2 linked regions of the Arabidopsis thaliana genome follow. The protein of the gene in region 2 interacts with the protein of the main gene of each other region in a pairwise test. Each region holds a gene or a part of one and is shown on either strand. Other genes may lie near its edges.

What was found.
Region 1: the proteins of AT4G29100 (region 2) and LRL1 interact in a two-hybrid assay, tested with the Arabidopsis thaliana proteins (one large-scale study listed by BioGRID).

The regions. Positions count from the first base shown.
Region 1 is NC_003071.7:10,318,672-10,324,062, reverse strand, and holds LRL1 (LJRHL1-like 1), read left to right. Parts: upstream 1-1,639; 5' UTR 1,640-1,885; coding exon 1,886-2,176; intron 2,177-2,205; exon of another isoform or gene 2,206-2,241; coding exon 2,242-2,412; intron 2,413-2,556; coding exon 2,557-2,622; intron 2,623-3,164; coding exon 3,165-3,230; intron 3,231-3,618; coding exon 3,619-3,675; intron 3,676-4,015; coding exon 4,016-4,417; 3' UTR 4,418-4,850; downstream 4,851-5,391.
Region 2 is NC_003075.7:14,339,098-14,345,528, reverse strand, and holds AT4G29100 (basic helix-loop-helix (bHLH) DNA-binding superfamily protein), read right to left. Parts: upstream 4,565-6,431; 5' UTR 4,390-4,564; coding exon 4,061-4,389; intron 3,826-4,060; coding exon 3,447-3,825; intron 3,177-3,446; coding exon 3,096-3,176; intron 2,465-3,095; coding exon 2,399-2,464; intron 2,240-2,398; coding exon 2,174-2,239; intron 1,906-2,173; coding exon 1,846-1,905; intron 1,691-1,845; coding exon 1,646-1,690; coding exon of another isoform or gene 1,604-1,645; exon of another isoform or gene 1,152-1,603; coding exon 954-1,151; 3' UTR 516-953; downstream 1-515.

The DNA.
Region 1 (5,391 bases), on a different chromosome or scaffold from region 2:
CATATTTTGTAATTATTAATTTACGAGTATCGTCTTTGGGATAGGATGTTTGTGATCTTGGGGGCATAGAAAAAAACAGTAGAATTTCGAGAGCTCTAGCATCATTGATGAATGTACCTGCTCGAGTTTATAATTTTAGACCATTGTCAATTATCATCGTGAAAAGATTATTAAAACATGAATGTAATATTTCATTCTCGGATTGTATTAATAAATATATAATATGTTTCATTTTATGAGTAATTTTGTACTATACATAATTCAGTTAATGATCAATTGCGGAAAATTCTAAATTTTTATATAATGAGAAACTTATTTACAATTTTAAAACTTATTTAACATTCGTATATATGAGTTGAACAAATGCACCATGTGTGTGTGAACAAATTTGCAGTACCATGTAAAACTAATTAGCTTACCAAGATGGACTACAAGTGTTTTTGGTCGGGCTAGAAGTAAATGGGTTGGAAACTGGTCATAGATATGGGTAAACGACCAGCGGCTGTGCTCTTTTAACCATCTCCTAAATTACTTTAATCCAAAGCCAATATTTTTTGATCATTCTCATTAAAATGGTTGGTTTTCCAGTGAATTTTGAAGTTAAGGTATATCTGTAGATAGTCAAGTAGCTAGATTAATCATTGGGTAACACTTAGGTGGTCCGAGACCATTTTGGGTAGCTCCAATGTACATCTCTTGAATTCCATCGATCCAAAGGGTCGTTTGGTTTCATCATTCTCCTTAAAATGATGTACTCTCTGAAAAGAAAAAAAATAGGTTAACGTCGTTAGGTCGAATGGATTTTTCAATGGGTAAGTAAGTATTTTTGATTTTGGTATGGTTCGGATAAATTCACGTTTATCCGGCTAAATGGCTCGAACATTTTGAATTCCACCCAAATGGTTAATCAACTTCTTAGGAAAACCTTTTGAGTGAATATCCAAGCCTCTATTTAATCGATCAGATCTAGGATTGGACAAGGATATCCTCCTTGTATTTGGTTTTTGGTGGGACTAATTAGGTAACTCCTTGGTCCATGTAAAATTTTTAGAAGCCACAATTGAAACGTAAGAAAGGCACTAATAATCACGGGCATGCCATCATCACCCATATACAGTATAATATTTATATAAGATTTTTTACACATATTAACAAAACACAAAAATCTCATTTAAATTATTTCCTTTCTATAAAAACATTATTAATTACACCTAATTTAATTAATAAAAAATATGTAACAAAATATAATTGATCAAAAATATTAAATATATTTAATTTTTGTATAGAAAAATGAAAACAACATTTATTTTACAACAACAAAACAAATCATTAAACTACATGAAAACACAAAAATAATAAAATTGCTAAACAATAAATGTTATCTAAGAAAACTATAATTGTATACAAAAGCTAGCTATTACACTTAGCACCATATAAATAAACTTCTTATCCATCAATGTTTAATATATATTTGTATAGTAAAATAAAACTAGTTTGCATCTGAAAAAGTATAATCAAATAAAACTCTTTAGATAGCAATATGTACATTAAAAAAAGACTTATTTTCATACGTATTAAGCTGTAAAAAATAATGATTAAGATTTGGGGTAAAGAGAAACCAAAGTTTAAGACGGAAACGAAACAAAAGATGATAATCATCGATTCATCATCACGATATAATATGGGTTGCTAACCACAATAGAAAAACAAAAGTTCTTTTAAGGTTTTAATAATATATCACCAAAAATGATAATTAAAACCTAAAATTAAAATAATATATCTACAAGACTACAACAATTCTGCTTTATAATAAAGCTATAAACCTCAACATTTTTCAACCTCTTCCCAAAAAAAAGTGTAGAAGCAGAAGAAACCCATCATCATCATGATGAACTCTTCTCTTCTAACTCCTTCTTCTTCATCTTCTTCCCATATCCAAACTCCATCAACAACTTTCGACCACGAAGACTTCCTCGATCAAATCTTTTCCTCGGCCCCGTGGCCCTCCGTCGTCGATGATGCTCATCCTCTTCCCTCCGATGGCTTCCACGGCCACGATGTCGACTCAAGGAATCAGCCGATCATGATGATGCCTTTGAATGATGGCTCCTCCGTCCACGCTCTTTATAATGGCTTCTCCGTCGCCGGATCTCTTCCTAACTTTCAAATCCCTCAGGTATAATCTCTTTCTCTTTTCTAAGTTTTTCTCTTCTTGAAAACGAGACTTATGGTGAAATATAGGGATCGGGAGGAGGATTGATGAACCAACAAGGACAAACGCAAACGCAAACGCAACCTCAGGCGAGCGCGTCTACAGCTACTGGTGGTACGGTGGCGGCTCCGCCGCAGAGTAGGACTAAAATCCGAGCTAGGAGAGGTCAAGCAACTGATCCTCATAGTATCGCCGAAAGGGTTAGTTGTTTTTGTTTTTTATTTTACTTTGTTCGATGCATTAATTTGTATCAGTTACCGAGAAAGGTGTCGAAATTGAATTTTTTTTAGCTTTTTGAAGAAAAGATTTGAGTATTTTCTGGAAAAAATGTTTTTATGGGACAGTTACGAAGAGAGAGAATTGCGGAAAGAATGAAAGCTCTTCAAGAACTCGTTCCTAACGGCAATAAGGTAAATTTTTATTCAATTCATTTTCAGTTTAGTTTCCAAAAATTAAGATTAGTTAAAATATTAAATGGATCATTATGAAAATAAACTTCACTTTCCATCATTTTATTCATCATCCACTCTTGATTCGTGCGATCCATAATTCCATCTAATTTACAATTTAAACTCCATCGTCTATTTATAGTTCTCATCTTCTAGACCTAAAATTGAAAAAATACAAAATAAATAATGAAAATAAGTGTCGAAATGATCAGGAACTTTCTTGGAGCTAGTTGTTCAAGAGATAGTTTTAGGCTGTCAACTAGAACTTTCAGGAGTTAACAAGTAAATTTATATTTTTTGTTTTACTCATATAATTGGTGGTTGTGTAGTCTATCTATATATAGGAGTAGCTAGTAGTATATATCAATCAAATGATTAAACACTGATTAGCTAATTAATTAATTAGGCTACAATAATAAAGTTAACTAATGCAGTAATAAATGAGTTAGGATCTCAGTTCTGACAGTTTTGTTTTTGTATTTTATTTGTATAATAATGGACAGACAGACAAGGCATCGATGCTCGATGAGATCATAGATTATGTCAAGTTTTTACAACTCCAAGTCAAGGTGAATCTCTCCCTCTCTCTCATATATTTACAGTTATTATTTTATTAAGTTTGTTTTTCATACGTACAAGGGGTAATTCTTTTACAGAGTGCAATTTGTTTTATTTTATTCTCTTCAATATAGATGGAAGATTCGTTTTTTTGCCTTTTAGTTTGACATATTAAACAAAAAGAAAAGCTGACATATTAGTACAATCTTTACATACCAATATATCAAATTTATGGGCCTCTGCAACTAAAATTCCTTATGCTCCCTCCTCAAATTTTATATATACATTCTGGATTATTATGTCATATAAATACATACATGATAAATAATGTTTTTAAGTTATAAATTAGTGGACCAGTGTACTTAATCATTCTGTTTTGAATTTAATTATGCGTTTTAGGTACTGAGCATGAGCAGATTGGGAGGTGCTGCTTCCGTTTCTTCTCAAATCTCCGAGGTAACTAATATATTACTATCTCTACGTACTCATTTTTCATAAATTTCAATAAACATCAAAGCCAATGGACAAAATTAAGAAATTAGACAATCACTTTTCTCTTATAATGTTAATTAGATTTTACAAAATATTATTTTGGTGTGTAAAAATAGATAAATCGTGCAAGACGTTGAAAACAAAATGAATGTAAAAAGTTTCCAGAAACAGAAAACAAATAAGACAAATTTTATAATTCTAAAATAGAGAAATATAAAAGAGAGCACGCGTGCCGACTAATCACTTAGGGTTTCGCTTTCTTTGTCTTTTTGTTTTTCAAAATGTTTTGTTTTATTTTGCTTAGGCTGGTGGATCCCACGGGAACGCATCCTCCGCCATGGTCGGCGGTAGCCAGACGGCCGGAAACTCCAACGACAGCGTTACAATGACGGAACATCAAGTGGCCAAACTAATGGAAGAAGACATGGGCTCGGCCATGCAATATCTTCAAGGGAAAGGTCTTTGTCTCATGCCAATCTCTTTAGCCACCGCCATCTCAACCGCCACGTGTCACTCCCGTAACCCTTTGATCCCTGGAGCTGTTGCCGACGTCGGAGGTCCTTCCCCTCCCAATCTTTCTGGCATGACCATACAGTCGACGAGTACAAAAATGGGTAGCGGTAATGGGAAATTAAACGGTAACGGCGTGACCGAGAGGTCGTCTTCTATCGCCGTTAAAGAGGCCGTATCCGTTTCGAAAGCGTGATAACGGCCGTTTACTTTTGGGGTTAGGCAGAGAGATACCAAAAACAAAGAGAAAGTGGGGTGAAGTGGGAGATAAAGTCAAAGTCTACGAAGAATGAGGTTGAGGTTGTTTGATGTGTTCTCTGAACGAAGCCATATTTTTCGTAGAGTTTTGGTTCTTTTACCTACGCACTACAAAACCATTCAAGGGACATTTCTTTTTCTTTTTTAAATATATGGTTGCAATATGTTTTATTTTTATTAAATAAAGTTGGTATCGTTGATCTGAATATTAGGCTAGAAAAAGAAAAAAATAGTATATTGGTTTTTCACTTAGAGATGGAGTTATAATCTCGTCTCTCAAATCTCAAATATTGAATCCAAGACTTTAGATGTTTATGGATCGCACAAGTCTAAATATTAGGATATGAGTTTGAAGAATATACAAATTCTGTACAAAACAAAGAGGTACGTACGTCTATACATTTTCACTATAGACATCAATCATCATTTAACAATTTTACAGTAGCAGTCTGTTTAAATGGACCTACTCAATACTAAAAAGTCTAAAACATTTTCTTAACTTGACACCATTAACTTTTTATCACAACACACGTCTATCTCAAATCCACACTACAAAATTAATTTTTCTTTTTAAATTACATCTTTGATCTATGAACACAACCTAGAAACCAAAACGTATTCCATCGAGGAAACTCTAGCTCGCTAATTAACAAAACTTGTTTTTTTTCTCTTTTTTTTTTTCCTAAATATTTTGGCTAACCCAAACAAAGCCTGTCTCTTATGTAAAAAATTCATGTCCTCATTCCCTTTTGCCAAACTAGCATATTTCCTACTTTCCATTAGGAAATTATTGCTCTCTATACAACCCAATATTTCAATATATATTTATCATATCTTTGAAATATCCTTATGACTCTCTTTTTGTTTAATGCCTTTCCTCTTGAAAATATCTTCCTAAACACTTTGAGACGT
Region 2 (6,431 bases):
CAACAGTCGAATTCATGATTCACAAAATAACCAAACCTTCAATTTATAATCGTTTCCAATCCCAAAATCAAGCCATGGACGCCAAGAACACCAAAGCTGATGGAGCCAAGAATTTTGGTACGAGTGGCGGAAGCGGTGGTTCTGGTAGCACTTCCGACATCGGTAAAACAATGGTTGCTCCTGGATCTGGTGGACGACAAAGCGTTTAGAGGGAGGCTTTTGAGAGCAACCCTAAGAAGTTCTTTGATGATCGTAACTTCAAAGAGAAGAAATGAACCGTTTAAATGAAGAGCAAGTTCTCAAAAAGTGATGATATATCTTGTTTCTTATTTTCTTCTTTGTTAGTGATCCTCCAAGGCTCCACTAGTTCACACATATGGTGGAGTGAAGTAAAATAATTATCAATAATAATTAATAAGATTCATAATTTCTGAACTTTTTCGTTCTTTTTCTTTTTTCATTGTGGATGATCATTTACGTGAATTAAGAACTACGCATGAAAAAGGCAAACGAAGTAACTTATATCGATATTTTCCGGCACACTTTTTTATTTTAATGGTCTGCATGTCGTATATATCCCACACAATAGACATATTATAAGTAATAGCAAAATTATAACGATACAAACCACGTGGAAGTAATTAAAATAAGTACTTAACCACAAATTACAATTAACCGGTAAAAGAAAACAAACAGTTTCCTAAAGCAAGAACATAAATTGATCACTTGGTCATATCATCTGATAACGCATCAAATGATGAAACGCCAAACGCATATTCATCAGACGCCAGACGCAAATTCTCTAGCAAAGTTTTAAACGAAGAACTTTGTATAGCATCATGAGCAATCAGCCTTGGAAACTCAATTTGTTGTTTTCTCAGTAGACTGACTGCTCGTGATGTTATATCATTTTTCTCTAACGCTGGAATTCCACGTGGCGTAATTTCATTGGCTCAATGGAAACCGGCGGAGCCAAGTGCTGGAGCCCAATAGTCCGCGCCGTTGTCGCTGCCTACTTGGAGTGTGCATGAGATTGGGACAAGACATAAACCTCGACTTCTCAGATCTTTCTTAGGCTCTTCACTTGCATTTTGATTGTCCGTAGATGACGACGAAGCTCCTCTTCTCTTCATGCACTGATCGTTCACGAGCTAAAACCATATCAAAAAAAAAAAAAAACAATCATGATATATAGCATTGATTAACAAAAAAAGTAAACACATGTTCTCTAACACCTATATAAAGAGGTGATAAGAAAAAAAATCATTGAATTTCCCCTAGTGAAAAGCATATATAAAACCCCGCCAAAGGAATTTGAATTTCACTTAGATGAAGAAAACAAGTAAGGAGAAAAAGTTGATATTTAAATAAATTTAGTGGCTTTGTTGGTTTTAACGAACTTTTTTGGTTTATAATAATGTAAGGGAGGGTGAAAAAAAAGCTGGCCGCTGCATCTTTTAATATTAATCCAACTTTACTTTAAAGAAAACAGTAGAAAAGAAAAAAAACAAAAGAAAAAAAAGGATAAATTTTGGAAACTAAAGCTGTCCACATTTTTTAGATTTGGATTCAATTGATCCAATAAAAAGTATAGTGACTCTAATTATATATTAAAAGTATAGTGACCAAGAAAAAATGGACGTACCTGACCAGGGTCCTCAGGAAATATGCAACTCCTATCTCCTTGCAACTATTCATATAAACCATAGTTAAGACTTAAGAGATAATATATAAGTATAAAAAGTTTCGTGTAGGTTATCGAAAAAGAAGAAGTTAAGGGTATAAAACGATAGCATGATGATTTGTTTGTGTATATCAGTATATATACGAAAATTTGCTACTTACATGTTGTTGGTGCCTCATATTCCCCGAGGCAGTCGTACCAAAGTATGGATGACTCAGAGCCTGCAACAGTGCAACAGTTGCAAAAAGTCATAAATACTTTATATATAATCACATCAATCAAATATTACTTAACATGGAGAGAACAAAACTTTATACTACTATCTTTATTCTTTCTTATATAATATCATTATGCTTTATTCTGTAATTTATTTCTCAGTAATCACAACCTTTTTTTCTTCTTTTTTTTTTTGGTAAACGGAGTAATCATAAGCATTATTTTTATTTTACTGAATGAGAATATTTGGAGTTTGGAAAAGACGAGTCACACCTCAATTTGACTCTGAAGGAATCTAATGTATCCAATAGCTTCCGACAGGACAGAGGCTGTGTCAGTCTGCAAAAGATGGGTAAAAAGGGATGAAGAATGATTTAGATTTTAGATTAACAAGAATGAAACTAAAAAAATCTCCACAATTAATGTTAAAAGTTGATTTGATAGAGGAATATTAGACGACATTAATAAATTTGATTTGTTAATGGAATCGATCTTTACCTTTCCAAATGGAGATACTAGCTGATGAAGCGCTGCGATTCGGCCTCCTAGTTTCTCCTTTCTCACCTTTAATTACCACCATAGATTAATTAATAGCATCAATTAAAAAGCTTTCTATATATATGTGCATGTGTGGTCATATTATTTTTACTAATTACCATGCATAGAGAAAACGTGCTTACTTAGCATGTACAAGTGATAAACAATTATTTTACTTTCACTAGTATATATAATTATCATGATATTATTGAATCCAATGTCTAATGCGACTCTTCCATTTCTACGTTTCAAAACAAGTTACAGAAAAAAACAAAACTTTTAAATCTCTTTTTTTTTTTGACAGAACTTTGAAATCTCTCAAAATGTCCATATTCTATAAAATAAAATTTATTACATATAGTGTCGTCTAATTCTAAGGAGAATGTTGAAATTTATTAATTTAAGTTTGATTTTTATGAAATAAAGAGAGGAAAGGAATATTGAAGAATGAAGAAGAAGACAAAACAGGAGAGAACAAAAGAGTTACAAAACACAAAACCACACAGCTTATTCTGTGCCCATTCTGTTTTGTTTGCTTCTTCTGTTCTCCTTTGTGTTTGTGTTTTTGTTTTGTTAGTATGATGTCAGGGAGGGAATTTATATACAGAAAACGTTATATAAGTTATCCAAAGTTTCGTTGATATAATCAATTAGTTACCTTGAGGGTTGATTGTGACGAAGGAGAAGGTTGGAGCCTTGGCTTCTTATTAGTAGACCCACCAATCTCTAAGCTGTTACACTGCATCACATATATAGATAACAAACAAAACAAAGATCAATTAGTCATTTAATCAAAAAAAATTCAGAGCAAAACTCATCCTGGTTGCGTGTTGAATTTAGATCCAAACCTTAAAATAAAATATGTTGTCCTGATCTTTTTAAATGACGTTTTAGATTTCACTTTTTCATAGTAGTTGATGTGTTTACTAATTTATGTGTAAAACTAGATATTATTTCCGAGCTTTTTCCGTATATTATCAAAATCTCTGAGATGTGGAAAAAGTGTTACCTCAGAGGATCGATCCGGAGGAGTGTGTCTCCCTTCTGACAAGTGAAGACCATTGTGATTGCTAGAGAAATCCAACATATTATTATTGTTGTTGATGTTATCGTCGTTACTATTGAGGCTTGTTGTGGTAGTTGTTGTAACACAAGATTTGTTAGGAGGTGAGTTCGGGGAAGATATGACATAGCCATTGTTGTTGTTAATGTTACCCTCTTGTTTGATGTCAACAGCCACCATGGAAGCTTGTTGGTGGCTTAACACTTGTTCTTCCCAATTCTCCAATCTTATCTTCCCTTGAAAACCATGGTGTTGTTGTTCATCATGATGATTATGATGGTTCATCATCTCCAATCTCTCTTCCTCTCCCATCATCAATCCACCCCTAAGTTCACAAAGAAAATATCCAAAATATTAGATTGTTTGTTTGATACTTAAAATACAAACACATACATGTATATACGTATATACGTATAACAAAAAGGTAATTAGGACTAAGTAGCAACACACGAGAAAACAAAGAGTGAACTAGTAAGTAAACACAAGATCATGTCATGTGCGTATAGAGAATATTTCATTTTGGAATATTTATAGAGGGAGAGAGATAGAGGGATAGTTACAAAAGAAGTTGGCTAAGGCTCCAAGACTCAGGAGGGAGATCATTGCTTTCAAGCCAAGAAGAGAGATTAGGGTTATTAGGCAAAGACGGTGAAGAAGAAGAGGAAGAAGAAGAAGTCGCCGGAGATGGCAAGAAGTGCGGGAAGGGAGTGGGCATCATCCGTGGTCGGAGATAATTGTTATTAGGAGTCATATGTGGTGGCAACGGCGCCTGCTGATGACCCATCAACGGTGGTGGTGGCCTCATGCCGCCGCTTACGTTCCACCAATTAGGGTTTCCGGCTGCCATCAGCTGCTGAACCGGCGAACTCTCCAACACACCTCTATTCATCACCTTTTATCTCTACTCTCTCTCTCTCTATAGATCTCTTTATGTGTTTACTAATCAGAGGCTTTGGAGAAACGTTGAGAAGTGTTTGATTCTTTAGCTTAAGTAGTTTTAGAGAAGAGAAAGAGAGAGAAAACTCAAAACTAACTTAAATTTTGATCTCATTTGATAACATGTGATGTTAATTTTTTTGGAATTTTTATTTTTGTTTTTTAATTTTGTCTTTTTCCTCCCTCTTTTTTTCGTTCCTTTAATTTTTCTTTTCTATTTTTTTAGATTTATTTGATTGTATATCATATATTTACTTTTTTCCCATGCTTTTTTCCATGCTTTAGCTTTATCTTAAAGTGGGGCAGAGAAAGGTGGTAGCTACTTTTATTATTTAAATTAATACATGAGTTGAGAAAACAAGCAGAAAATATTTTTAAATCAAAGAAAAGGATTATTCGAATATTTTATATACGGTGTATAAATTTTTCGAATATATATTACATATAATTAAATAAATTTTTGGTTATATCACAACTCACAAGTGTCTTGCATCTATGATCTATGCATTCGCCTTTTGATCGAATGTAAATGAATTATCCTTTTTTTTATCCCTATTTTTTTCATTCTTGTAACTTGTTGAATTTTGTTTTTCTGATTAGTAAGATTGCTTCTTTGATCTAACGGTTTAGATTAGCTAACTAGTTCTAAACTTGCAATGATTATATCCTGGGCCAAATACTAGTGTTTTTATTTATAGGTACTAGCCGAGCCAACAATATTTTTTTCTTTCTTTTTGCTTATTTCCTCACTGTATACTAATTAAAAGTGACAAAAAAATTCAATAAAATACGACGGCGTCGTTGTATTATATGTCACATATACCTTTAAAATCACGCAGCTATATGCTTTTTTTAATAACATAGTAATGTTTGTACTTTTAGTTTATTAGTATTTGTTTGTTTTGTTTTGTTAAATAAGTACTTGAATTCGTTAGTATGGACTTTAAAGAACACTGAGTAATAGCATTTATAAATGATTCCAATAATAAAAACTATAATTTTATAGAATAAAATAATAATAATTCCATAGTCAAAAATCATATCCAATTACAAAAAGGTAAGAAAATTAAAGACAAGAACGATTCTGGTATTATTTTCAACGAAAGATTCTATTTTTGCTGACGTAAAAAGTACTGAATTGTGTTGCGTAGGGTTTTCTGTAATTGTAACAATGCAAATACATCTAACGAACTCTGTACTTAACTAATCAATTACATAAAAACGAGTCACAACGTCGGTATGCGACTTTATTACATTTTTTTTTTCACTGCGACTTTATTACATATATGATCAAGTTGCTCTCAACATTTTTATATAATAATTAATTAGCAAAAAAAAACATTTTCTAAAAGTGATACTATATATATATATTTTTTCTCTCATTTTCGTTGAAAGGTAAAGGTAAGAACATATATGTCTTGATATCATTTCATCGTGGAATAAAGTCACTGTGGATTTTTGTATATTGTGTTTTGAAAAATATTCTCAAAGATGTTTTCAGCGTATGGAAGATGTTAGTATCAAAATAACAAAATATTTTTAACATAAACTGAGGACAAAAATTATGAGACATGTAAAAAAAAAAACTTATTTTGCAAAATTTTTAAAACATGTTATTTTAAAAAACTAAGTATAATCTTAATCAACGACTATAATTACCTTTACAGTTTTCTTTTTACTGATAATATAAAAAATATATTTCAAATCAGAGAAATTTTGTTAAAACTGTTTACTATATGTTAAATGTTCCTTGTCCTAAAATAAATAGATATACTAAACATTCTTAACATGACATAGTATTTTTTGGATTGTGTATTTACTTTAGAATGAAAAAATGTATCAAACAGTTTTCTATAGATAAGCGTAATAAAATATGTGCACATGTAGGTGCGATTGTATTTGTGTGTATACAAACAATTGTTCGTTCTTTATTTCACTCTGTTAGACACAAGATGACGAGAGCATTGTGTCATATGACGCATACACTTAATTTTA